Callithrix jacchus: one gene and its partners. The protein of the gene in region 7 purifies or fractionates together with the protein of the main gene of each other region. This does not show direct contact. Links are inferred from orthologs where the notes say so. Each region holds a gene or a part of one and is shown on either strand. Other genes may lie near its edges. The genes, in order: BCL11B, SIRT6, NUMA1, EZH2, CBX1, UBTF and CHD4.

Evidence for each region.
Region 1: the proteins of CHD4 (region 7) and BCL11B purify together in Homo sapiens (affinity purification with mass spectrometry; 4 studies listed by BioGRID and IntAct, with this or other methods). This does not show direct contact. The link is inferred for Callithrix jacchus from reciprocal best matches to the Homo sapiens genes CHD4 and BCL11B.
Region 2: the proteins of CHD4 (region 7) and SIRT6 purify together in Homo sapiens (affinity purification with mass spectrometry; 3 studies listed by BioGRID, with this or other methods). This does not show direct contact. The link is inferred for Callithrix jacchus from reciprocal best matches to the Homo sapiens genes CHD4 and SIRT6.
Region 3: the proteins of CHD4 (region 7) and NUMA1 purify together in Homo sapiens (affinity purification with mass spectrometry; 3 studies listed by BioGRID and IntAct, with this or other methods). This does not show direct contact. The link is inferred for Callithrix jacchus from reciprocal best matches to the Homo sapiens genes CHD4 and NUMA1.
Region 4: the proteins of CHD4 (region 7) and EZH2 purify together in Homo sapiens (affinity purification with mass spectrometry; 5 studies listed by BioGRID, with this or other methods). This does not show direct contact. The link is inferred for Callithrix jacchus from reciprocal best matches to the Homo sapiens genes CHD4 and EZH2.
Region 5: the proteins of CHD4 (region 7) and CBX1 purify together in Homo sapiens (affinity purification with mass spectrometry; 7 studies listed by BioGRID and IntAct, with this or other methods). This does not show direct contact. The link is inferred for Callithrix jacchus from reciprocal best matches to the Homo sapiens genes CHD4 and CBX1.
Region 6: the proteins of CHD4 (region 7) and UBTF purify together in Homo sapiens (affinity purification with mass spectrometry, with the first as the bait; 3 studies listed by BioGRID). This does not show direct contact. The link is inferred for Callithrix jacchus from reciprocal best matches to the Homo sapiens genes CHD4 and UBTF.

What each region holds. Positions count from the first base shown.
Region 1 is NC_133509.1:134,158,085-134,162,105, reverse strand, and holds the start of BCL11B (B-cell lymphoma/leukemia 11B), read left to right. Parts: upstream 1-1,221; 5' UTR 1,222-2,222; coding exon 2,223-2,280; intron 2,281-2,727; exon of another isoform or gene 2,728-3,365; intron 3,366-3,795; exon of another isoform or gene 3,796-3,862; intron 3,863-4,021. UniProt on the Homo sapiens protein: Key regulator of both differentiation and survival of T-lymphocytes during thymocyte development in mammals.
Region 2 is NC_133523.1:3,924,703-3,928,709, forward strand, and holds the start of SIRT6 (NAD-dependent protein deacylase sirtuin-6), read right to left. Parts: upstream 2,801-4,007; 5' UTR 2,777-2,800; coding exon 2,711-2,776; intron 2,567-2,710; exon of another isoform or gene 2,490-2,566; intron 1,862-2,489; exon of another isoform or gene 1,687-1,861; intron 1,169-1,686; coding exon 1,041-1,168; intron 19-1,040; coding exon 1-18. UniProt on the Homo sapiens protein: NAD-dependent protein deacetylase, deacylase and mono-ADP-ribosyltransferase that plays an essential role in DNA damage repair, telomere maintenance, metabolic homeostasis, inflammation, tumorigenesis and aging.
Region 3 is NC_133511.1:68,865,873-68,869,850, forward strand, and holds the start of NUMA1 (nuclear mitotic apparatus protein 1), read left to right. Parts: upstream 1-1,178; 5' UTR 1,179-1,381; exon of another isoform or gene 1,382-1,569; intron 1,570-1,930; exon of another isoform or gene 1,931-3,978. UniProt on the Homo sapiens protein: Microtubule (MT)-binding protein that plays a role in the formation and maintenance of the spindle poles and the alignement and the segregation of chromosomes during mitotic cell division.
Region 4 is NC_133512.1:98,909,661-98,911,968, forward strand, and holds part of EZH2 (histone-lysine N-methyltransferase EZH2), read left to right. Parts: intron 1-1,103; coding exon 1,104-1,185; intron 1,186-2,100; coding exon 2,101-2,181; intron 2,182-2,308. UniProt on the Homo sapiens protein: Polycomb group (PcG) protein. Catalytic subunit of the PRC2/EED-EZH2 complex, which methylates 'Lys-9' (H3K9me) and 'Lys-27' (H3K27me) of histone H3, leading to transcriptional repression of the affected target gene.
Region 5 is NC_133506.1:118,186,861-118,190,963, forward strand, and holds the start of CBX1 (chromobox protein homolog 1), read left to right. Parts: upstream 1-1,303; 5' UTR 1,304-1,514; intron 1,515-4,103. UniProt on the Homo sapiens protein: Component of heterochromatin. Recognizes and binds histone H3 tails methylated at 'Lys-9', leading to epigenetic repression. Interaction with lamin B receptor (LBR) can contribute to the association of the heterochromatin with the inner nuclear membrane.
Region 6 is NC_133506.1:71,070,974-71,074,993, reverse strand, and holds the start of UBTF (nucleolar transcription factor 1), read left to right. Parts: upstream 1-1,220; 5' UTR 1,221-1,354; intron 1,355-1,722; exon of another isoform or gene 1,723-1,837; intron 1,838-2,081; 5' UTR 2,082-2,116; intron 2,117-3,066; exon of another isoform or gene 3,067-3,184; intron 3,185-3,449; exon of another isoform or gene 3,450-3,590; intron 3,591-4,020. UniProt on the Homo sapiens protein: Recognizes the ribosomal RNA gene promoter and activates transcription mediated by RNA polymerase I (Pol I) through cooperative interactions with the transcription factor SL1/TIF-IB complex.
Region 7 is NC_133510.1:20,791,144-20,794,643, forward strand, and holds part of CHD4 (chromodomain-helicase-DNA-binding protein 4), read right to left. Parts: intron 1,563-3,500; coding exon 1,441-1,562; intron 1,240-1,440; coding exon 1,024-1,239; intron 836-1,023; coding exon 717-835; intron 603-716; coding exon 361-602; intron 114-360; coding exon 1-113. UniProt on the Homo sapiens protein: ATP-dependent chromatin-remodeling factor that binds and distorts nucleosomal DNA. Acts as a component of the histone deacetylase NuRD complex which participates in the remodeling of chromatin.

The DNA of each region.
Region 1 (4,021 bases), on a different chromosome or scaffold from region 7:
ATGGACGAAGTTGGCTTCAGCCTGGGGAATGGGGGGTGGGGGAAGTCTCCACGGGGGCCGTGGTGTGGCCTTGTCCGCGGGCCACGGACAGGCCCCACAACTCCTGTCCTCGCCGGCTGGAGATCAAACGGCTGACAAGGCAGCTGCGTCCTTCCCAGTCTGACAGGCATTTCCAAGTCCTACCCTGGGCCGAGGAGCGCGGGAGGCGGGGTGCGACTTCCAGGTTACTGTGATTGTCAGGGGCGCCTCCTGGAGTCACCCACTCGAGTATCTGCGGAGATCTGGCCACACCTACTCCTGAGCCCGCAAGTCCTAGTCCCTCTCCCACGTGGGGCGCCGCGGTCCCTTTACCCTCTCGCTGGCCATAGACCGGGTATAGGAGGTGGGGCCCGTAGGAGTCAATGAGGGTGAGGGGAGGGGAGGGGGCAAAAATTCGGGTGCAAATCCTTTTCCAAATGGGACTCAAACAAGGTCTCAGACACTTCTCACCCACCCCCCTCACGTGCTGTTGATTCTGTCCTCTTGGTGTCGTTTGTCTTCCTCACCCTCCCAGAGTCTGTAATACCAGGATTTACATGGAGACACTTTTTGGAAGTTGAACTTCAGCATCCACCCGCCCCCCGCAACCGTAAAATAAAAGTAAAAACTACCAAGCGACTTTTCCAGGGAAACGAAGCAATTCTTCATGTCCCCCACCGCCATGACGACCCCAACCCTTTTCCGCAGTCCACACCCCCACCCCCAAAGTCCAAGTCCGAAAGAGCTTTTGGGTGGAGACTTGCACTGATTCAATGTAGTTCACTCACACGGCACCCTGCCCTCCCCCTCTTCTCAGGGGGTCCTGCTCCCAGGAGGGAGGGGATATAAGGACGATTTTTCTTGTCTTTAAAAATATGGTGCCCAGTGGCCCCCGCCCCCTCCCCCTTTAGCGCAGCCGGGGATCGGGGGAGATGAGGAACGCACAAAAACGCGGTTTGCACGTGTGGCCTGCCTGGGCTGCGGGTGTGCGCACCGGCGAGTGTGTGTGTGTACATGTGTGAGTGTGTGCGCGCGCGCGTGTGTCTCTGTGCTTTCTTGTTCTCTTACAGGGTACAATGTTAAAAAGCCACCGCTAGTCGCCCCCAGTGCTCCGACTCTCTGGGTCTTTTTGTCTCTAGTGCAGATTAAACGTCACGTCCGCACTTGAACTTGAATTTTATCCCATTGTACAGAGGCAGCCCCAGCCATAGAGAGACCGAGAGCTCCCAGAGAACCCGGACTCCGCCATCTTCACGTTGCAATCTATAGCTCCCAGTCCGCGCCCGCACCGACCCAGGCGCACTGGGCGAGCCGCCCCTCCGCCCCGCTCCCCCCGGGCCCGCGGCGCCAGGGGAGCGCTGGGGAGCGCTCGCGGGGACTCGGCAGCCCCTCCGGCCGGCGCCAGCCTGCCAGGTGAACTGGGAAGGAGCCGCTCTTGGTGTCCCCCCAGAGCCTCGGAAGGGTCAGTCTCCGAGAAAAAAAAAAAAAGAAAGAAAGAAAGAAAAAAGGCAGGCAGCCCGCAGAAAACCCAGAAACAACCGAACCGGGGCAGTTTTACATTGCTTTGGGTTTTTTGAGGGGGCGGGGTGAGGGGGTACGAGACAAGTCCCCAAGTTTTCTTTGCTTTTTTTTTCTTTGCTTTTTCTTCTTCTTCTTCTTCTTTTTATTTTTATTTTATTTGTTTGAATTTTTTCTTTTCCCCTCCTGGTAGAAGTGCGCTTTCCACCTACCAGACCTGAAAGAAAGTGTCAGGAGCCGGTGCAAAATCCAGTTTAAGTTCAAGAAGACATTTGCAAGTGCAAGAGGCCAAGCAGTTGGAAGAAGTGTGAGAGATTTCTTTTTCCTTCGAAAGAATATATTTTTAAAGAAACCAGCCAGTCCGCGGAAAGCCACAGCAGTTTTTTTTTTTTTTTTTTTGCCTCTTTCTCTTATTTTAGATTGAGAGGTTTTTCTTGCTTTTCCTCCTCTTTTTTCTTTTTGCAAACAAAACAAAAAACAGCATAGAAGAAAGAGCAAAATAAAGAAGAAGAGGAGGAAGAGAGGGCAAGAGAGGAAGGGAAAAAAAACACCAACCCGGGCAGAGGAGGAGGCGCGGCGGCGGCGGCAGCAGCGGCGCGGCGGCAGCGGCGGCGGCTCGGACCCCCTCCCCCGGCTCCCCCCATCAGTGCAGCTCTCCGGGCGATGCCAGAATAGATGCCGGGGCAATGTCCCGCCGCAAACAGGGCAACCCGCAGCACTTGTCCCAGAGGGAGCTCATCACCCGTAAGTGTCTGCGGCGTGCGCGCAAGGGGCCGGAGATGGGGCTCCGGGCGCCTAGGGCTGGGGACACGGAGCCCGGAGCAGCCGAGTAGGGCCAGGCGCCGGGGCCGCCTGCGGGCTGGCAGAGGCCACGACGTCGGCCTGGAGCATGGCGGGGGCGGGGGCCAAAGGAAAGTTTCTTTGCAGCTCGGGGAGTTGGGGCGCTGAGCAGCCGGACGCTTCTCGGGCTTGCGGGCCTGCGGAGCCGGCTCCGGGCCGGGGAGGGGGCGTGCAGGCTGGAGGAGTGTGTGTGCGCGCCGAGCCCGGCTGGACGCTCGCCCCTCCGAGCGGCGTGTGTGGCGGCGGCGGCGCTGGTGGCGGGGTTTGGAGAGGAGGGGGAGGGGGTTGGGGGAGCCGAGGGGGAGGGGGGAGCCGGGAAGTGGGGAAAAGTTGGCGAGCGCGTGGGTCCGCGCTGATGGCGCGGGCGGAGGAGAGCGGGGTGCGCTCCGGGCTGGGGGAGCTGGAGGGCAAGGGGCGGCCGCTGGCTCCGGGTCCCCGGTCGCCGCGCCCGGCCCAGCAAGGCGCCGGCCACGCCGGTCCTAGGATTCCGCCGCCGCCTTTCTCTCCCCTCCTCCTGCTATTTGCAAAATAATCCAGCTGCGCGGCTGTTTGCCGGGCTCAAGCCCCCTCCCTACCCCCCATTTCCCCACCTCCGTCTGTCTCCTGGGATGATCTTGTCTTCTTTCTCCCACTCCAAAAAAGGTGGGGGGATTGGGGTTGGTGAAAAATCCCTCCACGAGAAAAAAAAAAAAAGGTTGTCAGGAGTGGGAAGACAGTGATGCGCTTGTAAAATAGTAAAAGAAAAAAAAAAAGAAGAAAAAAAGGAGACCCATCAATCTCATATCCATCTTTCTATCTCAGTATCTTTCATCTTTCCTATCTAAATAAACAAGGCAGGTCGCAGTGGAAATCCACCCGCTGAAATCGTGTAGATTTCAAGCATGTGGCGGGGCGGGCAAAGTCAGGCGGCGGGGCAAGAGAAGCAGCAGCTTCCACCGTCCCTGTTGGGTTTATTTAGCCGAGGGAAAAAGCGAGCGCGAGCGGGCCAGGTACGGGGTTTGCAGGGGAGCCCGCCCCGGGTCCCCGCACACTTGCACCGGGAAGGTGGCTCCGCGGCGCTCCCCGCCCGCCGCAGCCCGCGGGGCCGCTTCCTCACTGCGCGCGAACATTTCCCCGGCGTTCTTTCTCTCGCGGTGCCCGGGTCGCCGTTCCTTTTTCTTTTTTTTTTTCAATTGCAATAGAAATAAAACATCCTCTGGGCGCCACCGAGACCGCGGGCAGGTTGTAAGCCTGCAATCCGCAGCGCACCTCGCGGGGCTGGGGCCGGACTGCCCGCGCGGAGCTAGAGAGGGCTGCGCGCCCAGCTGCCGCCGAGGACTGGCTGCGGGGCGGCCGAGAGCCGAATATTTATGTTATATTTTAAAAAATTTAAATAAATAAATAAATATATAAAGGGGTTCTCCCCTCCCCTGAAAACCCAGCATAGGAGCCATCTGCTCGGAGCAATTGCTGTTGCCATCTCTCCTTTGTTACAGCAGATACATTAGTAAGAATTTGTGGATTTATTTTGATTATTTTTGTGGGGGAATAGATATTAAAGTGGGATTCGCCTTGGGAGAGGGATGCCTCTTTGGAGGGAGGGAAAAGGACTTCTCTTTTATTTTTCGCCATTGTAACATCAAAGAAGACTCTCTGGTTGCATTTA
Region 2 (4,007 bases), on a different chromosome or scaffold from region 7:
CAGACTCCGTGGGGACCCCTGAAGGTGGCAGGCCGGGAGAGATGGAGGGGGAGAGGGGAACAGAAAAACAGACGGAGAGAGAGAAAATCAGGAGACAGAGAGAGAGGCAGGGAGGCAGAGAGAGGGAGTCGGAAAGAAATAGAGGGTAAATTTGGAAGAACAGGGAGAGGGAGACAGAATAAGACAGAGACAGAGATATAACGAGTTAAAGACAAAGTCAAGTTAGAATTGGAGACAGACAGAGAGAGGGAGAGACAGAGAGAGGGAGAGATGAATTCACACGAAGGCAAAAATGACTTATTCAGTTCAATCAACTTGGTTGCTGCTGCCCTGAGCCTGGCAGGGCACATGGACCCAAGCCCTGCCCTCCAGAAACCCTTGATCTTGGGGGAGACAGGTGGACACAGACCCTCTGGCCCCACGGGGTCAAGACTGGATCAGAGGAGGTACCTGGGCCTGGGGAAGGCCAGTGGAGGTGGTGGGGACGCTGGGGCATGTGGAAGGGTTTCCTGGAGGAGTCTGAGCGTCTCTTGAAGGGTGAGAGGGAATATCAGACAGAAGGGGTAAACAGACGCCGGGGTGCTGGGAAGAACCCATGAGTTTAGGAGAAAATGCAAGTGTTTGGGGGCTGTAGCAGGGGCAGGAGGAGCTGACGCTGGAGAGGTGATTCGGGGCTGGGCCAGGAACAAAGGGCTTGAGCTTCCAGCACCAGGAATTCAGAATTCTTCCTGCCTGGTAATGGGGAGCCACAGCAGGTTATGGAAGAGGAGGAGGAGGAAAAATTCACGCCTTGGAATTCTGATTTTTTTTTTTTCCAGCCAGGTGTGATCAGGCCAAGGGGGTGAGTGGAATGCTGGTTGTGATTTCAAGGGACACGTCCTAAAGGGAGGGAATATCAGCCCTCCCCAGTGTCCAGGACACATCCAGAAGGAAGGAAGGAAGATGGATGGGCCCTAATGCCTAGTTGTGTGGCTCACGGGGAAGGCCGTGGCAGGCTGGTGGGCCTTGCCCCGATGTCCCCTGCACACTCACTCACAGACCTGAAGTCGGGGATGCCAGAGGCGGTGCTGATGCCGGCCCCTGTGTGAAACACCACGTTGGAGGACTGCCAGACCAGCCTCGCCAGCTCCCACACCTTCCGCTCCAGCTCCTCTGGGGGGTCGAAGATCTGTAGGGGGAAGGAGCAGATGGAGGGGTCAGAACAGGTCCCGCAAGTGGCCAGGCCATACACGAGCCACAGACCGAGCTGTCCCTTTCTTGCCTGGGGCAGGAAATAGATTGGAAAAGGCAGCTTGTCCTCATGTGTGTCCTCTGCCTACAGACCTCCGTGGCTCCCACCTGCCTTGTTAAAGCCCTAGCCCTGCCCCCTCATGTTCTCTTCTGCTCCCTTCCCAGCGTCACTCACTCTGATCCAGCCACGCAGGGAGGCCTCCTCCCTCTTCCTCCATCACGCCAGGCACAGTCCTGCCTCAAGGCCTCCGCACAGGCTGTCCCCACACCCTTGAGTGCTCTTCCCCCAGATACCCACATGGATGCCTCCTTCACCTCCTGTAACTTGTGGGTCAGATGTCACCTCAGCGACAGTGACGCCTCCCTTGGCCACCTGGTTTCCATACAACCCCTAGTCAGTCTCCCTTATTAGAAAGAGGGGTTAACTTGTCTTGCTCCTGACTGTGGCCCCCTTACCTAGAAAGTGCCTGACCCACAGCAGGTGCTCCATCAATGTTGGTGGAAGAAAGTGACTAACAGGCCGGGCGCGGTGGCTCACGCCTGTAATCCCAGCACTTTGGGAGGCTGAGGTGGGCGGATCACGTGGTCAAGAGATCAAGACCATCCTGGCCATGGTGAAACCCCGTCTCTACTAAAAATACAAAAATTAGCCGGGCGTGGTGGCGCGTGCCTGTAATCCCAGCTACTTGGGAGGCTGAGGCAGGAGAATTGCTTGAACCCAGGAGGTGGAGGTTGCAATGAGCCGAGATCGCGCCATTGCACTCCAGCCTGGGTGACAAGAGGAAGACTCCGCCTCAAAATAAGTAGGTAAATAAATAAAGTGACTGACAGCAGCAATGAAGAGCGCGGCTTCTGGACAGACACACCGTCAGCGCTCACTAAATGCAAGACTCGGAATGCATGGGTCAGCCTTTATGGGACGGGGCCATCTTCACGCAGGCGACAGCCTCCGCAGAAAGGATGGGGATGGGGACCCAGAACTGAAGTGACTTCCCACCGGGCGCGGAGGGGACAGCCGACCCCTCCACTTCCCCTCCGAGTGGCTGGAGGGATCTTCCTGGCACATTCTGTCCAGGCCCCTCGCCAGGGCAAGACCCTTCTCCATCCCCCTCGGGAGAAGGTGCCAACTCCCCAGCCTGGCATTTGAGCCCCGCCCTGGCCCGGCTCTGGAAACCTCCCCGGCCTAATCGTTCTCCAGGTGCGTTTATTCCACCACCCTGCCCTTGCGCCTGCCGTCCCCTCCTCCTGGAACTACACACCCCCGCTCTCCCCGACCAGCCCCGGCCGGTGGCCACAGAGTTGGGCGTGTTCGCGTCCCCGGGTGCGCAGGGGTGTCACTTCCCGCCCCTTCCTCACTGGGAAGTCCCTCCCATTGTCTAGCCTCAGTGTCTCCTGATATTCCCACAATGCCCTGCTGCCGTCCGGACCCTCCCTGCCAACGGCGTTGGGAGCGACCCTCGGGATCCCCGGATGCGCTCACCTCGGGGAGGCCGCACTTGCCCTTGTCCGCATACGGCGACAGCCCCGCAGCGTAATTCACCGACATCCTCGCCGCGCCCACGGGAACAATAAAGTTTCCCTTGTTGAGGCCGCTTCCGCCGGAAGCGGGGCGCGGCGGGGAGGAAGGAGGAGCCGCGTTCCTGTTCCGCGAACCCTGCCTCCCTCGGCAAGGCGCATGCGCCGCGTGCTGACGCCGCAGGAGCCATGTTAACTGCTGTCGGAAGGAAACCCGATTTCTTGGCTGCAGGCATTCTCGGGGTTTGGGAAGGGGCTGCCCGATGACCCGAGCGGGAAATTGGGGCGGCCGCCTACGTGAGAGTCCTCCAGTCACCTCTAAAATGAGGGACGCAGGCTATCGATGCCCCCATAACCCCGTTTTACGTGTTAGTAAATTCCATAAGGACAGTGCCAGACAGCAGGGACCCCCTAGTCCAAGGGTCTTGAATGCCACCCTGAATTATCTGAATTTTTTTTTTTTTTTTGTAAGACAACCTCGCTTTGTCGCCCAGGCTGGAATGCAATGGCGCAGTCTCAGCTCTCTGCAACCTCCTCCCGGGTTCAAGCGTTTCTCCTGCCTCTGCCTTCCGAGGAGCTGGGATTACACACGCCCACCACCGCGCCCAGCTAATTTTTTTTTTTCTTTTTTCTGATTTTTGTGTTTTTTAGTAGAGATGGGGTTTCACCATGTTGCCCAGGCTGGTCTCGAACCCCTCACCTCAGGTGATCCACCCGCCTCGGCCTCCCAAAGTGTTGGGATTACAGGCGTCAGCCACCGCGCCGGGCCAGGTTATCTGAATATCATACAAGTGGAGGCTCTGAATTTTGCAGGACACTTCCTGCTCGTGGTCACTGGGGCTGGTGGCCTGGAGGGCTTATTTAAGAATCATGTGTTGAGCACCTACTGTGCACTGGGCACACTGGGGAACAAAGATGGTACCGTCCCTGCCCTGGTGGCTGGGGGTGGACACAAAGATGTGATCAGGTAATGGTGACATGGTGTGGTTGCGGTGCAATGGGGGATGCAGAGGGCACAGGGCAGCGAGGGGGCTCACAGGAGGCACCTGACCCAGCTTGGGGGCATCCAGGAGGGCTTCCTGGAGGAGGGGATGTTGCAGCAAAGATCTAAAGAGTGCATGAGTCAGGTAGAGCCGGTTGGGAGTGACTTGAAATATAGAAAGAATGTTCCCAGTGGGGGAAACAGCAAGTGCAAAGGCTGAGGAGACAGGAAGAGCGTGGCTCCTTCCAGAATCTGAAATCAGTCCAGTGATGATAGGGAA
Region 3 (3,978 bases), on a different chromosome or scaffold from region 7:
AAGCGCTGGATAAGTTACTTATTGTAATAGATCTGTGAGGACTAAAAAGAATATAACTAACTAGAGCTTTGAGAAGCGGACCATGGAGAAGGTGTGGGGATAAAAGGGAATCTGGGAACAGTGTGGGAGGATCCTGCCAATTGAGAAGAGGTTTTACTGTTTGGGGGAGGAAGGAAAGAGGCACTTCACGCCCCAGGAAGTTTCCTACATCTCCAGAGTTAGGGTAGGGACTGCGGATTTACTCTATCTAATGCTAATCGCATGTTTTGGAAGAGGGTTCAAATTCTTCAGAGGAAAACATGTTTTGGAAGAGGGTTCAAATTCTTCAGAGGAAAACAAATCCCATTTCTGAGGGCGTTTCCGATCTCCCAGGTTGGGCCTGGGACTTGAAGCATCTGATTTGGGGAGCCTTATGTTTGTGTTGGGGGCGGAGGTTCGTTGTTTTGTTTTGTTTTGTTTGAGATGGGGGTATTGCTCTGTAGCCCAGGCTGGAGTGTAGTGGTGCAATCACGGCTCACTGGCAGCCTCAATTTCTGTGCTCAAGCGATCCTCCTACCTCAGCCTCTCTAGTAGCTGGGGCCACAGGAGCACGCCACCAAGCCCAGCTAATATTTTGTATTTTTGGTAGAGACGGGGTTTCGCCATGTTTTTAAGGCTGGTCTCGAACTTCTGGCCTTAAGCGATCCGCCAGTTTTGGTCTCCCAAACTGTTGGGATTACAGGCGTGAGCCACCGCGCCCGGCCCTGGGGGAAGTTCTTAAACACTCCCAAATCTGTATGGGTTTGTATCTCAATGCTTTTCCCTCCCTCTGCCCCCACAGTTTGTCCCATGTGGGTGTTGTGTCTTGCCCACTGTGAAAGGGAATGAGGGGAGGTGGGGGAAATCTCAGATCCCCCAGCAGGGAAGTTCTTAGTCGTTCTGTGGGTGCCCCTCCCTTCTCCATAGATCTCTTGTCCCCTAGAATGAGTTTCCTGTATTCCCGCCTGACTCACCCGCAGTTGCTTCCTCTCCAGTCTCGGAGTCCCTCAGGGTTACTCAGGGCAACTCCATAGCAACTACTTTTGTCGCCACTATCCCGCAGGCGCCGTAAGAACTGACGCTATGCTTACCGGGACCTGTAGTTTGTCAGAGGCGGAGCTTCAAGGCCGCGGGTGGCGCTGGGATTTGTAGTTTTCTTTGCTTTCAAATCCAGGCCGGGGTCCGGAAGCGGTGATACCCCTTCTCTTTCCCAGTGGCCCTCAAACTTCCTTTCCCCGGGTCTTCAAGCGTGCCCCGCGTAAGACAACTGCCGACAGAGGCCAATCAGAGGGCAGCACGAGGGGGCGGAGCCATAGTTTAAACTAATTGTGCGCTCACAGCGCTGGCCAGAGCCCGGGATAAGGTACGATTAGTGGGAATCGCAAGGCGGAGCGGGAGCGTGCAGCCAGGTAACCGGCGCGGGCCCGCGTCTGGCATGCGGCCTGCGCACCGGGGTGCTGGAGAGGCCGGTGTGAGCGGAAGGCCTCCTCCGTAACCGAGTCCGAAAGGGCACAATTTGGGGGTAAGGTTTGTTAGGAGAGCCGCCTGTCTGAGGGGGAGGAGCCGGGGGGGGTGCCATAAAGGGGAGGGTCTGTTTGGGGGCGTGTCTGTGAAATTAAGTCTGAGGGCGACGGGGGTCGGGGTTTGGGGGTAGGGTAGTGCCTGAAAGGCTTGTAAGCGAGGGGTCGGGTCCTGGAAAGTCTTCAGCGTTTATCGTTATCAATAGCAGTAGTTATGGTAGTGCAGTAGTCAGCATTTTTCTGAGCTACACTGTCCACAATGACCTCCCAATGGTTTTTCAATCCTCTAAGCACCTGTTATACTTTAAAGATGGGGAGGCCGAGGTTTTTAATGTTTAGCTTGGCCAGGGTTACGTAGCCAATGCGAGGTTGGCTCTACTTGGGGTTTTGCCAGTTGGGCATAAATGAAGACGGGGAAGGTGCTTTGTGGGGGTGCGCATTGTCTTGGGCTGGTCGGTGTATTTTGAGCCTCACTTTTCATATATGTAAACTTACCTACTTCCTGGGGTAGTTATCCTGGTCAAAAGAGGTAGGTCTTTTTATTTTTTATTTTATGGGCTTGTTTTGTTTTGGTATTTTGTTTTATTCACAGATAACATGTTTCATACACTCACCTCGGAGGGTACAAATTTATGATTATAAGTGATGTGACTGTGTGAAGATTGTGGGTTGATGCTCCCGCCTCTGGGTACTCTCTTTTGCTTACCTCTGAGTTAGCACTTGTCATCTGGTATTTTAAGAGTCTCTGCGTGTTTGTCTGCCCTTCTAGATAATGAGAGACTTTTTCGTCACTGTATCCTAATGGCTAAGGCAGGATTTGCGACATGTAATGGGCATTAATGTTTGCTTTGGAATAATGTGTTTTCCTGGACTGAAAGGGCACAGGAACTTTGCTTTCCCATTTTCTTTTTTTTTTTTTGAGACGGAGTTTCGCTAGGCTGGAGTGCAATGGCGCAATCTCGGCTCACTGCAACCTCCGCCTCCTGGGTTCAGGCAATTCTCCTGCCTCAGCCTCCGGAGTAGCTGGGATTACAGGCACGCGCCACCACGCCCAGCTAATTTTTGTATTTTTAGTAGAGACAATGTTTCACCATGTTGACCAGGATGGTCTCGATCTCTTGACCTCGTGATCCACCCGCCTCGGCCTCCCAAAGTGCTGGGATTACAGGCGTGAGCCACGGCGCCCGGCCCCCATTTTCATTTAGTGGCATTTGAACCTAAGTATTAAGCTGTCCTCTTTCCTGGAATGTCACTCCCTCTTGAAAACGTGATGATATTTTCTTGCCTTAATACATACCTCCCTCTCTCTAGTATCTGTTCGCTGGTTCTATGTTTCCAAACTTCTGGGTTGTCTGGTCGTTAAAGCTTTAATAGTAAGGGAGTTGGGCCTGTCTACTTTGTGGAGATCTTTACTGCTGTGAATATATGGGAACCGGGGGTGAGCATGAAAATCATGTAAAGGAGCTTTCAGTCAGCACGGATGGGTGTATGTTTCCTCTCTCCCTCTGCTTCTGTGTGGTATTTTCTCTTTTAGAAGAAGCACACACGTTGTGAAAGCTTCCGAAGTACTCTTTTCTTGGCCTAAGTTCAAGCAGTGATGACTAATTGTAATGCCTAATCTTAGTTCAAAGCAAAAAACTGTGCACCCCAAAAGCTTAAAGATCTTACCTGAAAGCTCATTAGGGAACATAGAATTCTTTTTTACATGTGGAATATGGAAGCGGGAAGAATGCCTTGAAATAAGACTTGAATTCTCGAACTGTTAGGATGAGGGCAAAGCCCTCCTTAGGTGGCTAAACAGAGCTGATCAGGGGCTGTTTGGACAGCTGTGTCTAATTGATAAAATTATGATCAGAAGATATAGGTTGGTGCAAAAGTAATTGCTGTTATTGCCATTGAAAGGGTGTGGTCATTTAATTCAGCCTCTAACCCACTAAACGTATGAAAAGGTGTTGCCCAGACTCAAAATGAGGACTTTCTAGAATGAGACCATTCCCAAAGTCAATCCATCTCGATGTTGAGCAATTCTATAATTACTACTTGTGCTCGCCTCGGCAGCACATATACTAAAATTGGAATGATACGGAGAAGTTAGCATGGCGCCTGCGAAAGGATAACACGCAAATTCGTGAAGCATTCCATATTTTTTTATTAAAAAAATAATTATTATTATTACTTTGTATCTGGGCATGGTGGCTGGCTATGTCATCCCATCTACTCTGGAGGCTGAGGCAGGAGGAGCAGGCGGAAGGATTGCTTGAGGCCAGGAGTTCCTGGCTAGCTTGGGCAATATAGTGAGACTCCATCTCAATTAAAATGTGTGTTGTTTTACATTGTTAGTGATTATTTTGTTTCACCCATATATGTCTACTGTTTGTCCAGTTTTCCTTGCATTTTATTCCTTCCTTTCTTATTATAGATACATACATCCTTCACATGT
Region 4 (2,308 bases), on a different chromosome or scaffold from region 7:
TGGATGGTGCTGGGTGCGGTGGCTCACTCCTTCAATCCTAGAACTTTGGGAGGTTGAGGCAGGTGGATTGCTTGAGCTCAGGAGTTGGAGACCAGCATGGGCAACATGGTGAGACCCCATTGCTACAAAAAAATGCAAAAATTAGCTGGGTAGGGTGGTGCATACCTGTAGTCTCAGCCACTTGGAAGCTGAGGCAGGAGGATCACTTGAGCCTGGGAGGTTGAGGCTGCAGTGAGCCATATTTGTGTCATTGCATTCCATCCTGGGTGACAAAGTAAGACCCTGTCTCAAAGGGAAAAAAAATAACTGGATTGCTTTGATTCTAGCCAAATACAGCTTTTCTCATTGAGGGACAACAGGGAGAACAAGAGCTTTATCATAGTGTCCTGCTTAATCCACAACCTAGTTGATAAGGACCTAGAAACAACAGTGTCATTAGTTACTCACCTTTTAAATTGTTGCGTTAAAGAAAAATCATAGGGCTAGCTTCAGTTTGGAACCAACTCACCCAATTTTTGTGTTTCACCCCCTGGCCTTTGTTTTTGAGGTGAAGCTCTTACTGCCCAGGCTAGAGTGCAGTGGCATGATCTCTTCTCACTGCAACCTCTGCCTCCATCTCCACGGTTCAAGCGATTCTGCCTCAGTTTCCCCAAGTAGCTGAGATTATAGGCATGCACACCACATGGCTAATTTCATATTTTTAGTAGAGATGGGGTTTCTCCATGTTGGACAGGCTGGTCTTGAACTCCCGACCTCAAGTGATCCACTTGCCTCTGCCTCCCAAAGTGCTGGAATTACACGCATGAGCCAAACTCTGTGTGTGTGTGTGTGTGTGTGTGTGTGTGTGTGTGTGTGTGTGTGTAACTCAGCAAAAAGACTTTTGTTTCTTACTTTCTCCAAGGATAATTACTTTGGGATGTGGAAATATTTCTGAGTTGAGGGTCCAGTGTGCAGACTGAATGGGAAAGAGAACTTGGCAGTAGTGACCCTTTTTGTTGAATATTCTCCAGAAGGTCCAGTATTCACTCTGTGAACTTTTGTGTGTTCTGTCAGGCTTGATCACCTTTATCCAAAAGAATTTTCTCCTGTGTCTTTCTCTTTAGATTATTTCTCAAGATGAAGCTGACAGAAGAGGGAAAGTGTATGATAAATACATGTGCAGCTTTCTGTTCAACTTGAACAATGGTATGTTTTTGAGCTGGGAGGCAGTGAGTTCCTCTGAATTGCATGTGGCAGCCTTTTGCTGCATGCAATTTCTGCTTCAGAAATGAAGGTAGAGGTCAGTGAGGTGACCGGAAGGAAGATCTCCACAAAGGCATTGGGGCTGCTTGCTGGAAAGGAACTGGAGCAAGGAATTCCTCAGGTAGCAAATACTAGGAAACCGCCTCTAGAGTCCCAGCCATCTGTGGATGGGGCTGCACCAGTCTCTGGCTGTGAAGGGGACATTGTGCTCTGTTGCTGCTCACCTCTTGTGTTCCAGAAGCTCAGCACACCTCCTCCAGTCAGTGCTTCTGACCAGGAGGGAGCACTGCATTTGAAAGCATCTTCCAGACTTCCCTGGATATTCTCAAAGGACTGAGAGGAAAGGCAGCTTCTTGCATAGCTGATATATGTTCTAGGGTAGAATGTAAGGCTATAGGGAGTGTTTTGGTGGGATTATATGAAAATGGAGGTAGGCTTAACATGTAAGATACTCAGAGAAACTGTTAGTTGGAAGTAGTAGGTTTTTTTCTAAGAATGCTTCATAGACATTAAAATTAATTTTAAATGTGAAAATGCCTATTCTTGAAATTTGGAAGAATTTAGATTCTGGTTTTTTGGCCATGTTTTGCTCAGTCAGATATGTTTATAGTTGATAAGTAATAGCTTTTGAATCAGATAACCATCTTGAATTACAGGTGATTAAATTTAACCTGGAACAATAAATAGTATGTTCTTCCAAATGTCATTTCTTACATAATGAAGTTGGTTGAATGGTTTATTTGTTTTTTGCAGGCAAACCCTAAAGAACTATAACCAGTTGCATTTACAGAATCATAATAACTTGATTGACTTAAAACTGAAATTCACTGGGTTGTGCATATTTTTTTTTTTTTTTAGATTTTGTGGTGGATGCAACCCGCAAGGGTAACAAAATTCGTTTTGCAAATCATTCGGTAAATCCAAACTGCTATGCAAAAGGTAGGTACCTTTGAAGTCAGAATTGGAGCTCCCTTTTCCATCCTGTGATGATGGACTTGAGTACTTCCGGGATACTTTGTTATGTGAACAAGTCGGTAACCACTCGTTGCTCTTCATGCTCACTAAC
Region 5 (4,103 bases), on a different chromosome or scaffold from region 7:
TAATCTTTTTTCTTTTTTTTTTTTTGAGACAAAGTGTCACTCTGCCACCCAGGCTGGAGGGCAATGGCATGATCTCGGTTCACTGCAACCTCCACCTCCCGGGTTCAAGCAATTCTCTGCCTCAGCCAACCAAGTAGCTGGGATTACAGGCACCCACCACCATGCCCAGCTAATTTTTGTATTTTTAGTAGAGACAGGATTTCACCATCTTGGTCAGGCTGAACTCCTGGTCTGGTGATCCACCAACGTTGTCCTCCCAAAGTGCTGGGATTACAGGCGTGAGCCACTGCACCCAGCCAGGGGAATTAATCTTAACACTGAGTAGGTTTTTTTTTTTAGATGGAGTTTTGTTTGTTGCCCAGGCTGGAGTGCAATGGTGCGATCTCAGCTCACTGCCACCTCCGCCTCCTGGGTTCAAGCAATTCTCCTGCCTCAGCCTCCCAAGTAGCTGGGATTACAGGTGGCACCACCATGCCCAGCTAATTTTTGTACTTTTAGTGGAGACGGGGTTTCACCATGTTGGCGAGGCTGGTCTTGAACGCCTGACCTCAGGTGATCCACACACCTCGGCCTCCCAAAATGTTGGGATTATAGGCTTGAGCCCCCGCACTCCGCCTTAAGAGGAGTTTTGCAGAGATTTGAGGAGGCGGAGATTGAGGACTACAGAAACGGTTGGAAATTTGAGGAGGCGGAGATATAATAAAGTTCTGGTTAAGAACATAAGATTAAAAAATTCAAGGATGTGAATTACCTAACTGTCCAGAAGTGGTTGATTTTTTGGGCCAAGCATCAAAGGGCTCATTTATAAAAATCACATGTCCTGGTCGGGTGCAGTGGCTCATGCCTGTAATCCCAGCACTTTGGAAGGCCGAGGCGGGCGGCTCACGAGGTCAAGAGATCGAGACCATCCTGGCCAACATGGTGAAACCCCGTCTCCACTAAAAAATACAAAAATTAGCTAGGTGTGGTGGCGCGCGCCTGTAGTCCCAGCTACTCGGGAAGCTGAGGCAGGAGAATTGCTTGAACCTGGGAGGCGGAGGTTGCAGTGAGCCAAGATCGCGCCGCTGCACTCCAGCCTGGGGACAGAGCGAGACTCCGTCTCAAAAAAAAAAAAATTATGTTCTAATTTTCTAGGTTACAACGCTCAACGCTGCAGTCGCTCCGCCGTTACAGTTTAAAACCTCGAAGTCCCTACCACCCTCGCCTACTGTGCGTGCGCAGCGCGCGGCACTTCGGGCCCTGTAGTCTTGGACTGATCCCGCGGACCAGGGTGCCATGCGGCGGGTCGCCGCGCCTGCGCGGTGCGGGCGGCGGGCAGAGCAGAGTGCGAGGCTCTTTTGTTCGGTTGAGGGGAGGGCCCTTGGCCTGGGCCTGCGGTACGCCGCTCCAGTGAGGTGCTCCATTGCGGCCACCGGGCTTGCTGCCTTCCTGGGCGCCACTCCCCCGGCCGACCCGACACGACGCGCCAGCAGCGCAGCACCGATTCCTCTCCGGCTGTTAGGCGCTGCTCTGAGGTGAGGAGCCCGCTGGAGGCGGGAGAGCTGGGGGAGGGGGCACGGTGGCGGCGGCGGCGGGAGCCCTGCGTGGGGGCCCGCGCTTTCGAGGCAGAGGTTGGGGGCGGGGAGCGGGGAGCGCGCCCGGGTCCAGCGTCCTGTTTTTCCACTTCCCGCGCTGAGCTCTCCGCCTGGCGCTGAGGCGTCGTTGCCAGCTGCGAGAAGGATGGGGAGGGCGGGGCGCGAATCCTGAGCCAGAGACTGAAGCTCTTCAGGGTGGGCCGAGCAGTTGGGGACCGCTTTTCCGGGCCCGCGTAGTCCGGGACAATGCTGCTTGGGTTGGGTGGGCGTCTGGGGATAGGGCTGGAGAGAAAACACCTTACAAGATTGGGAAGGGGACAGGCTTGAGGCTTGGATAGGTGTGGGGAGGAGCTGACGACCGCGAGACCCGAGGTTTGTAACTGTAATCGGAGGACGCCGGGTCCCGCCGGGGCTGCCAGAGAAACCTGGCTTTGCAGGACTACGGAAGAGTAACTTGGAGTTAATTGGAAAGAGGGCCCTGGGCCGCACAAAGTGTGCCGATTGGTGGAGGAGATGGAATAAATTGGGAAGGGGGGCACGGAGGGGGAGGGGCAAGCGTTTGCTGGGCCTGGCTCTGGAGGGGGAGGAGCTGTTAGGATATGTAGGGCGGAGATCCGGAGAATATTTCTGTAAGGTGTGTAAGGGAAAAGGGGAAAGCAGGCCGCCCTTGCTTCCTGATGGGTCCTTTCAGTGGGGAGGCTGTAAAATAATACGTGAAGAAAGGATTGAATACGCTTTCTTCACTTTTCCAGGTTTCCTACTGCCTTTGCTCCATGATTCCTTTGGGGAGTTAAGTCCAAGTGCAGCTCTTGCTTTGATTCAAAGTTAGTTCCATAAGTTTTTGTCTGGGATCGTTACTGGTCTCACAAAGGTGATAAAATTGTAAAATGCGTAGGTGAGTTAACAGTTAAGGAATGGAGTGAGGTAGTGATGACATCGTGTAAGGTAGGAGAAATTGGGAGACAGGAAGAGCAAGTATGTGAGATTGTGAGATAATACTTGTTTAGTGGGCCCTTCTGTTTTTTAGCCAGGTTTTCCTTTTTGGAAACTTTGAATACAGAGTGAGCAGTATTTTACCTCTTTTCCAACTATTTAGATGAGGGTTTTTCGTGAATTGATGTTACATTTAGACTTGTGTTGGTTTAAGTCAGTTGAGGTGGAATTTACAAAAAGATAGCTATAATCTGTTATACTAGAACCTCTAGCCTAGGGTAAAGTAGCCTTCTCAGTTGTGTTAAGAATCACACCAGCAGTTTGGAAAAATTGTGAAAGGTCCAAGGCTTTGGAATAGATTCAGGAATACAATGGGGAAATTAATGCCGGTGTTCCTCCTTAGGTGCCTTACAGACTTTTATAGGAAAGTGGTGAGATTGAAAATCCCTTGTATTGAAACCAGTTGCACCTTAATGAAGCTTCAGGGCAGCGGAGGACCTGAAGTCATTTACGATTTTCCCTGTGGTAATATTTTTCTTCAATGGCTGCTGTTATTCTAAATTATTTTTCACTAAAAATGTAAATAATGGGGCCGGGGATGGTGGCTCACGCCTGTCATCCCAGTACTTTGAGAGGCTGAGGTGGGCAGATCACCTGATGTCAGGAGTTTGAGACCACCCTGGCCAACATGGTGAAACCCCGTGTCGACTAACAATACCAAAATTAGCCAGGTGTAGTGTGCACACACCTGTAGTCTCAGTTCTTCGGGTGGCGGAGGCAGGAAAATAGCTCGAACCTGAGGCAGAGGTTACAGTGAGATGAGATGGCACCACTGCACTCCAGCCTGGCAACAGAGGGAGACTGTCTCAAAAAAAAAAAAAAGAAATAGTTTTGAATGTAAATAGAAGCCTAGTGCTTATAGCTTCCATATTAAAGGAGACCAAGTAAGGTACCCTAGTCTTCTGCATTTTATAAACCATATCTCCAAAGAAAAGAAGCAATCACTCTTGTGCCCATTTTAAGGACTAGGAAAATGTTTCTTTTTGTTGTTCACACCATTTGAAAAGAATTCCTTAAATTTTGGCATACTCTAGTGGTTTATCTAGCAAAACCTCCCTTTTTAAAAAATATCCTGGCTGGGCACGGTGGCTCAAGCCTGTAATCCCAGCACTTTGGGAGGCTGAGGCGGGTGGATCACGAGGTCAAGAGATCGAGATCATCCTGGTCAACATGGTGAAACCCCGTCTCTACTAAAAATACAAAAAATTAGCTGGGCATGGTGACGCGTCCCTGTAATCCCAGCTACTCAGGAGGCTGAGGCAGGAGAATTGCCTGAACCCAGGAGGCAGAGGTTGCGGTGAGCCGAGATCGCGCCATTGCACTCCAGTCTGGGTAACAAGAGCGAAACTCCGTCTCAAAACAAACAAACAAAAAAATATCCTATCTGCGGTGGTATAAGAGATTTTCCATTAGATTTGGTAGATTTTCACTTCATAGGTTCTTTCCATAAAGAGTTTTTGGAGTAGAAGGCTAATTGCTAGTTTATGGACTCCCATAAAATGGGCCATACCTCTTGTTCATCAGTGCCTGCCACAT
Region 6 (4,020 bases), on a different chromosome or scaffold from region 7:
CAGGCTGGAGGCTGGGCCTGTTGGAAGCAGGCTTCCTTCAGACGGCTTTCTGGCTCCCTGCGTCCGGATAACCTTTCCTCTGAGAAGGGGAGGCAAAGACAGACAACCACGGCCATGGCAGTGCAAGGGTGGGCGGTGGACCCCGTCCAGGCTTTTCATCACCCGCCTGCAGGATAGTGAACCGGGGGAAGTCTCGGTGGCGGTTGCCCCGCTGCCGCCCGGGCAGTGAGGCCGGGGTGCCGAGCTCCCCTCGCGGCTGCCCGCCGCCGCCGGGGGGCAGCGCCTGCGGCCTGCTTTCCCAGGGCTGGCCGAACCTTTTTGACAAACTGATTGCGTGGCGGGGATTGGCTGGTCGGGGCGTGACGCCGGTAACAACAAAGGTGGAGTTGGAAGAAATTAGATTAAAGGAGAGGAAAAAAATTAAAGGGGGAGCTGGCAGAGGACAGGAGGTAGAGACCGAGGGGGAGATTCGCGAAGCGGTGTCTCTCCCGGTTCCGACTACTCCACGCCCCAACCCCAGAAGATTCCTCGCACAAACCCACTGGGATTTTGCTCTTTCCCCCACCCCGGCCCAGTGGCCGATGCCGGGGTAGCAAGGATAGCCGCTGCTTCTTGAAAAATCCCGAAACTCCCACCCTGACACCCCTCACTACGAGCTAAGGAGAGAACTTTTTGCTCGGACTCCTCGGATCCTAAACCCAGCGAAGAGGGGAACATTGAGAAGCTCGTCCTAAAACCCGGAAGGCCCTCGCGGAGCACGGAGATCGGATAAGGCCGGGTGCTCCCATGGTTTTCCGATGTGTTGCAAATCTAAGAGCTTCTTTCTCGCTTTTTTTTTCCTGTAACTCCCCCCCCCGCCCCATTTTGCTTCTGGGTTGCAAAAGCAAAGAGCAATAAAAAAAAAAAAAACGCGCACACACTCAGACACACACCAGTGGCGACATGGGAGAGAGTTGGAAAGACGCAGGAGAGAGAAGCAGGAGGCAGGAAGCAGCGGGGATGGAGCAATGGGAGCGGGAAGGAGGCAGGTTTTCTCGCAAATCCCCCTCCGGCCTCAAGCCGTCTCGCCAGCCCCGGCAGGGGAGCGAGGAGCCGGGCGAACAGATGGAGGAGTGGAGCTCGCTCTAGGCAGCTGGGCTTGGCCGGAGAATGGAGGAGCCACCAAGCGACCGGCTGATTGGAAGAGAAACGCAGAGCGATGGAGGCGGGGGTAGGAGGACGATTTCTCTGCGGGGACTGGCGGCGGCGTACACGCCCGGGTCGGGCGCTGCAGAGCTTGGCTGGCTTTCAAGCCGCGCTCGCCGGCTCCAGCTCCGTGCGCCCCCCACTACTAGCCCTCCCGGCGGCTCCGCAGGTGAGTGCGAGCTGGGGGCAGAAAGATCCAAAAGTCTCAACACGCCCGCCCTGCAAAAAAGAAAAAAAAAAAAAAAAAAAAAAGGAAAGGAAAAAAAGCATTTTTCTTAAAAAAAAAAAAAAAAAATTTTCTGTGCAACCCCTAGAGCAGTGGGAGGGAAGGGGTGAGGCTGAGCAGCCCGGAGGAGGCGGAGGGGCCAGGCGAGGCCGCCGTGGCCCGGGAGGCGGCGGCGCCGAGGCGGCTCTGACGGGCAAGCGCTTGGAGCGGCGCTGCGCTGCGCCGAGGCGGGCGGGCGGGCGGGCGGAGCGGGGCGGGCGGAGCGCGGCGCGTGGGGCTCGCCATTAGCCGTCGCTCCGCTTCGCCATCTCGGGCTTTGTCTGGCGACTTGCTGCCCCGGCGTCGGCTGCAGCGGAGCTGCGGCTCGGCTATTCGGACCGCCGCGCCCCCAGGTGCCCCCAGCCCGCGCTCCCATCCACACGCTCGGTAAGTGAGCCCGGGCGCCGCGGATTTCGGGGGAGAGGGGTCGCTACGAGTGGCGGTGGCGCCGATCTCCATGCGCCCGGGCAGGCCTGGGGAGCCATGCCGGGCTGGATTGAACCGGCTCCCAGAGCGGCTTCTCCGCCGAAGCCCGTCGTTCCTTCGCCGTTTCCGGGGTGTAAAGAGCAATGGGGATTTTTTTTTTTTTTAATGCAGAGGTTTTAGTTTTTTGTTTTTTTTTTTTTTTAAGTTTCGTATGTGCCGTTCGGCAGTGAGGACCGCAAGGTAGGCACTGAAGCCGGGCGCCGCGATCGGCGTGCGTGCGCCCCAAGCCAGTGACCACGCTCTGGGGGATGAGGGTGTGCGCGGACCGCTCGCTCCGGGAGGCGGGAAAAAGCTGGCCTGGAAGCCCTAGTCTGAGCTGGGAGGACTTGGGGGAGAGCTCCGGAGCAGAGCTGTGGGCGCCCCCCGAGCCTCTCCAGCCGCCGGGGGCCCCTTTGGGCACCCTCTCCGCCGCCGCACCTCGGCCCTCCCTCTAGTGCCGGAGGAGCCTGTTAGTTCCCCCGCGGGTCTGGCGAGGTCGCTCTCGGCGCCCGCCCGCCCCGGCTCCGAGCTCCGCCGCCATCCGGGCGGCTGCGTGTCTCCCTGCCCCGGCCCCCCCCCCCGCCCGGCGGCAGCAGCAGCAGCCGCCGCCGCCGCCGCCGCCACCACCACCACCACCCCCCTCCCCTCCTTCCTTCCCTCCGCCTCGGCCGCCCGGGTCCCCCCAGCTCCCGCCCCTCCTCCCAGCTGCCCCCCGCGGAGCCCGCCCGGGCAGGCTGTGGGAGGGAGCGGAGCCGGCGAGGCGGGCGGGCTGGCGCTCGCTCCCCGGGGGTCGGTGTGCGCTCTACGGGGAAGGACGCGCTCGCTGCCCCGCTTCTCCCGCCCCCCCTCCCGCTCCTCCTCCTCCCTTCTCCCTCCTCCTCCCCGCTCCGGCGGCTGAGGCTGCGGCGGCGGCGGGGGGTGTGCGAGCTGAGGCCGGGGCCGGCGGCGGGCGGGCTGCCTGCAGGCGGAGGGCGCTGTGCTTTGTGCTTTTCGCCGCGAGGAGCAGCAGGCAGCAGCCACAGCCGCCGCCACAGCCACAGCAGCAGCAGCCGCCGCCCCAGCGCCGCCGCCTCGCCCGGAGGAGGAGCCGCTGCCGCCGCGGGAGGGAGCTGCGGCTGTGCCCGGCCGAGCGGGGGAGGGCGCCGCCGCTCAGAGCCGGGGAGGGAGCCGCCGGAGCGGGAAGCCCGGAGGCCGCTCTGCGCCGGGTAACCGAGGCGGCTGAGGACGCGCGCTAGGGTCGGGGCCTGACGGCAGGGAGCGAACCGCAGGGTGCGGTGGGCGCCCGGCTGGGAACCGGAGCAGGGGACCGGGCGCGAGCAGACCAGGGCACTGGGGAGGACGCCGAAAGCCGGGGGAGGGGAGGGCAGGAAGCGTGGCCCGAGCCGAGACCTGGCCGCTGGCGGAGGAGCCCGCGCTTCTCGGAGCCGGCAGGCGCAGTTCTCCCCGGCCGCCGGAGGGGGCGGCGGGGCCGGTGAGCGCTGCGCCCCCGCCTCCCGGCCGCCGTCCTCCCGCCCTCTGCTTGGCTCGGCTCCCCGGAGGCCAGGGCGGGGGCGCCGGCGGGGCTGGGCCGCAGGCTCGGGGGAGGAGGCGGCGGTTCCCGCCGCGGTCGCGCCTCTGCGCCGGGCTCCTCCGTGCGAGTCGGGGTGGCTGGGCGGCGGCGGCGCCTCTGGCCGGGGTAGGTGGCTCGGGGCGGGGGGCAGGCTAGGCCGCTTCTCTCCAGCTGCTCGCCCGCCTGAGCGGGCGGGGAAGGCGATGGGAGCCCGGGAGGGGGGAGCGGTGGGAATCCGAATCCGGTCCCCGGGGGCGGTGCGGCCGTTGCGCTCCGGGGCTGGCGGCGGCTGCGCTGCGTCCGGGTCCCCGCCGGGTTGCGGAGGCGGGGGGAACCGGCCGGGGGGAGGCGAGAGGAGGAGACTGGGGCGCGTGCCCGCTTCCGTGGTCGCGCGCGCCCTTTACCCGCCCTTCCTCCTCCCCCGCCCTCCAGCCTGGGGCCTCCCCGGGGCGGGCGCTCAGAGGAGGAGGAGTTTTTTTTGGCCAGGGTTGGGGAAGGAGGGCGGAGGGCGGGCGCTTGCTGCACGCGGGAGCTGGGAGCAGGCTCTCGCGTGGGC
Region 7 (3,500 bases):
CTTGGAACCAAAACCTCCCAACTTGATTTTCAGGGGAGCTACTTTCTTGGGTTTAGGCTTCTTGGCATCAGGTACACGAGGGCTGCCCTTGGGCTTCCTCCGAGCATTGGGACCTAAAATCAGGATACATCCAAATATATACCACAAGACCAAAAACGGGGAAAATAAAATCTTCTCCACCTAAGCTTACTTCCCAACAACCAAATTCCCAAATTTTCCCTCCTAAATCCAAGACTCATTCCTCCCTCCTATCTCTATCTCCTACTTTAGGGCGAACAGAACAGCATTCCCATGCTGTCTTTGACACCCTAGACCCACATTAGACCCCCCCCCCGGTTCCCATTTGAACCCCCATTTCACCTTTGCCCTCCTTGGTCTTGGCCTTGCGGATAGGGACCTCCACAGGGGGAGGTGGTGGTGCAACCTCAGTGGCTGTCACCATGCTCTCCACCACAGCCACCGCTGCTGCTGCTGCTGCTGCCACTGATGCCCCAGAACTGCCTTTGAAGGGATTATTGGTACTGAACTCCCGCCATTTTGCACCCAAAACCATCATCATCTTGGAGACAGCAATCTTGGGATTTTTGGCAGCAATGAGGGGTCTAGTGGAGCAATGGACAAGAACAGAGGGAAATGTGTAAGAATAAAAGAAAGTGAAGTAAGAAGAGATAATAGAAAGACTCTCCTCCCCCTTCCCCAAGCCCCTCCTGTTTTACCTGACAAACTGGCTGAAGGCCTTGTAGTTGGTGAGGGTTCGATAGTCCTCCTCTGAGAACACGTGGTCAATGTCTTCCATGCCCCAGTCTTCCAGGAGCTGAGCAGATGATTTAGGCTCCTGCAGAAAGAGAGAAGTCAAGGACCTGCCACCTAATCTCCACACTTGCTAAGCAAATTTGTGTTGAAAGACCAAAGTAACAGAATTAAGAGGAAAAAAAGAGAAAGTGTTCTAAAGGGCAGTAGAGTGTCTAGGAAACAAAAGGACAATAGCTAACAACACAAAGAGGGGGATGGAGATCCAGGCACCTTTGAATCATCGTCGTCGTCATCCTCCTCCTCCTCCTCCTTCCGCTTGGATTTGCTCTTCTTCTCTTTCTTAGGTCCAAGCTTCTTTTTCTTCTTCTTACCAGGGGTATAGTCGCTACCCTCACTGTCTGAGCGCAGAGCCACCTCTTCCTCCTCCTCCACAAACTCTGGCCCCTCCCCAGAGCTGTCCCCCAGCTGCCGGCATAAGAGCATACGCTGGAGCAGGGAAAGGGGGGGGAGAGGGAGACAGACACACACATGCTACACACATGCTGACCTCAGGACAGCCCTGAGGCTCATCCCCAGAACCTGGCCCACCACTCCTGAGAAAGACACAAATGTCCTCAGCCCTTCAACCCTTCTCAGAGCTCCTCCCTTCTTCCTCTCATTCCCCATAACATTCAATCACCCACACACCTCCTTTTTTTGGCGCTTGCTCTTAGGGATTTTAGGGTCCCGAGGTTTCTTAGGCTTTTTCTTCTTCTTGAGCTTTGGAGTCTCTGTTTCTGACAAATCCTCTTCTGGGTCCTCTTCATTTTCTACATATATTAGGCAAAGAGTGGCAGGCAGGGAAAAGATCAATAGCAAAAGGTTAGGGCCTAATCCAGAGACTTCAGACTTTATTCCCCACCTCTTGTCCCAGATTCCTCTGAAGAGAACTGCTATACTCTTTAGAGAAGGAAGCTGATACCCAGGACAAAAACAGACAAAGAGAGAGCTGTATATACCCGAAATAGGCCTGCCAGGCCAGACCAGGCCCACCTCGGGCAGCTGTCCAGACCCCTGCCTCCTCTCTCCCGTGCCTACCAGCAGTCTTCTAGGTATTTACCAGTACAGCTTAATCAAGCTGCTTAGACTTCACCAACTAAGAGAACTAGGTTTAGGCCTTCTGTAACTGGCCATCAACTATTCAACAAACCAGGGAATGAGAATGAAAGGTCCTATTCAGAAGACAGAAACTATAGAAGATACCCTCACCACATTCCCACAACAGGATCAGTTCAGGGGTCTGGGAAACCACACCCTTCTCTGACCACTTTGAAGTCATCACTGCTCAAATTAACCAGAACCTCCAAGTCCTAGGTTCAGTTGCCAGCCCAATCCATCCCCACTCCTAAAATACAATTGCCTTTCCCCATCTCCAACCCTAATGTTCCTCCTCAGCTTCTCCTGGGTCAGCAGCCTCTTCTCCCTAGGGGCCCAAATCAGCCCAGCTGTCACCATCTCCCCCTGCGCCAACCCCCAGCAATCCTCCTCCCATCTGGCTCCACCTCCTCCCCTGGCTGGAAGCACACACAAAGCCGGGGGTAATACTGAAAGCTCCAGGGCAAGGAAAGGTGGGAAGGGGCACAGAAGGGAAAGAGAAGGCCAGGAGGCAGCTTCCTTTGTAACAGACATTCACACCAGCTCTGACTCCTTCCTCCCTCCTCTCTCTCCCTCTTCCCAAGCCACCCCCGCCTAAAGTGGGGGTGGGAGGAGTAGAGAAAGGAGTGGAGAGAAGAAGGGAGTGCCTCACCCACTGAGGAGAGGGAAAATGGCTCCTGACCGCAGAAGCCAGCCCAGGGCACCCAGCTGCCAACATAGGACAGACAGGAAGTGGCAGGGGAGGGGGCGGGGTTGAGAAAGGTAGCGGAGAAAGACTGCCCTCATAGAAGCCTCCCCAATTACCTGGCCGCAGGTCTAAATACCACCTACTCTGGGATGACACAGTTCACAAGAGGCCCCTCTAAAGTCCTAACCAAGGAAAGCAAGACAAACATGAAAGTAATACCATGAGAGGAACTCAATTACTCCCTCCATCATAATTATTTTTTCAATCATCAGAGCTGAGATTTAACAAAGGCTCAGTGAACCTGTGGTCAGAGCATATAACCTCCTCCCCAAATTTCTGATACCCAAAAGATTTAGTTTGCGTAATGGAGGCCCACAAGAAGTCTCTGAAGCTCAGCTTCCTCACTAACCCCACCCAGAGTCCTATCCAACATATGGGAATATCTGCACAAAAAGGCGCAGGACCTAGAGAGTAATAGAAAATAATATCCCAGCCAGGCACAGTGGCTTATGCCTGTAATCCCAGCATTTTGGGAGGATGAGGCGGGTGGATCATTTGAGGTCAGGAGTTCGAAACCAGACTGGCCAACATAGTGAAACCCCGTCTCTAGTAAAAATACAAAAATTAGTTTGACAATGGTGGTGGGTGCCTATAATCCCAGCTACTCAGGAGGCTAAGGCAGGAGAATCGCTTGAGGCTGAGACGTGGAGGTTGCAGTGAGCCAAGATCGAGCCACTGCACTCTAACCTGGGTGACAGAGTGAGACTCCGTCTCAAAAATGTATATATCTATCTCTATATCTATATATATCCCTCCTTCAATCCCTGACATGCTCTTAACTCTTGACCAGCCAGAATTAGCCCTAAAATGTCTCTGGCTCCCCACTTCCTGAGCTAGATAGATACTATGGAATCTGAGACATTAG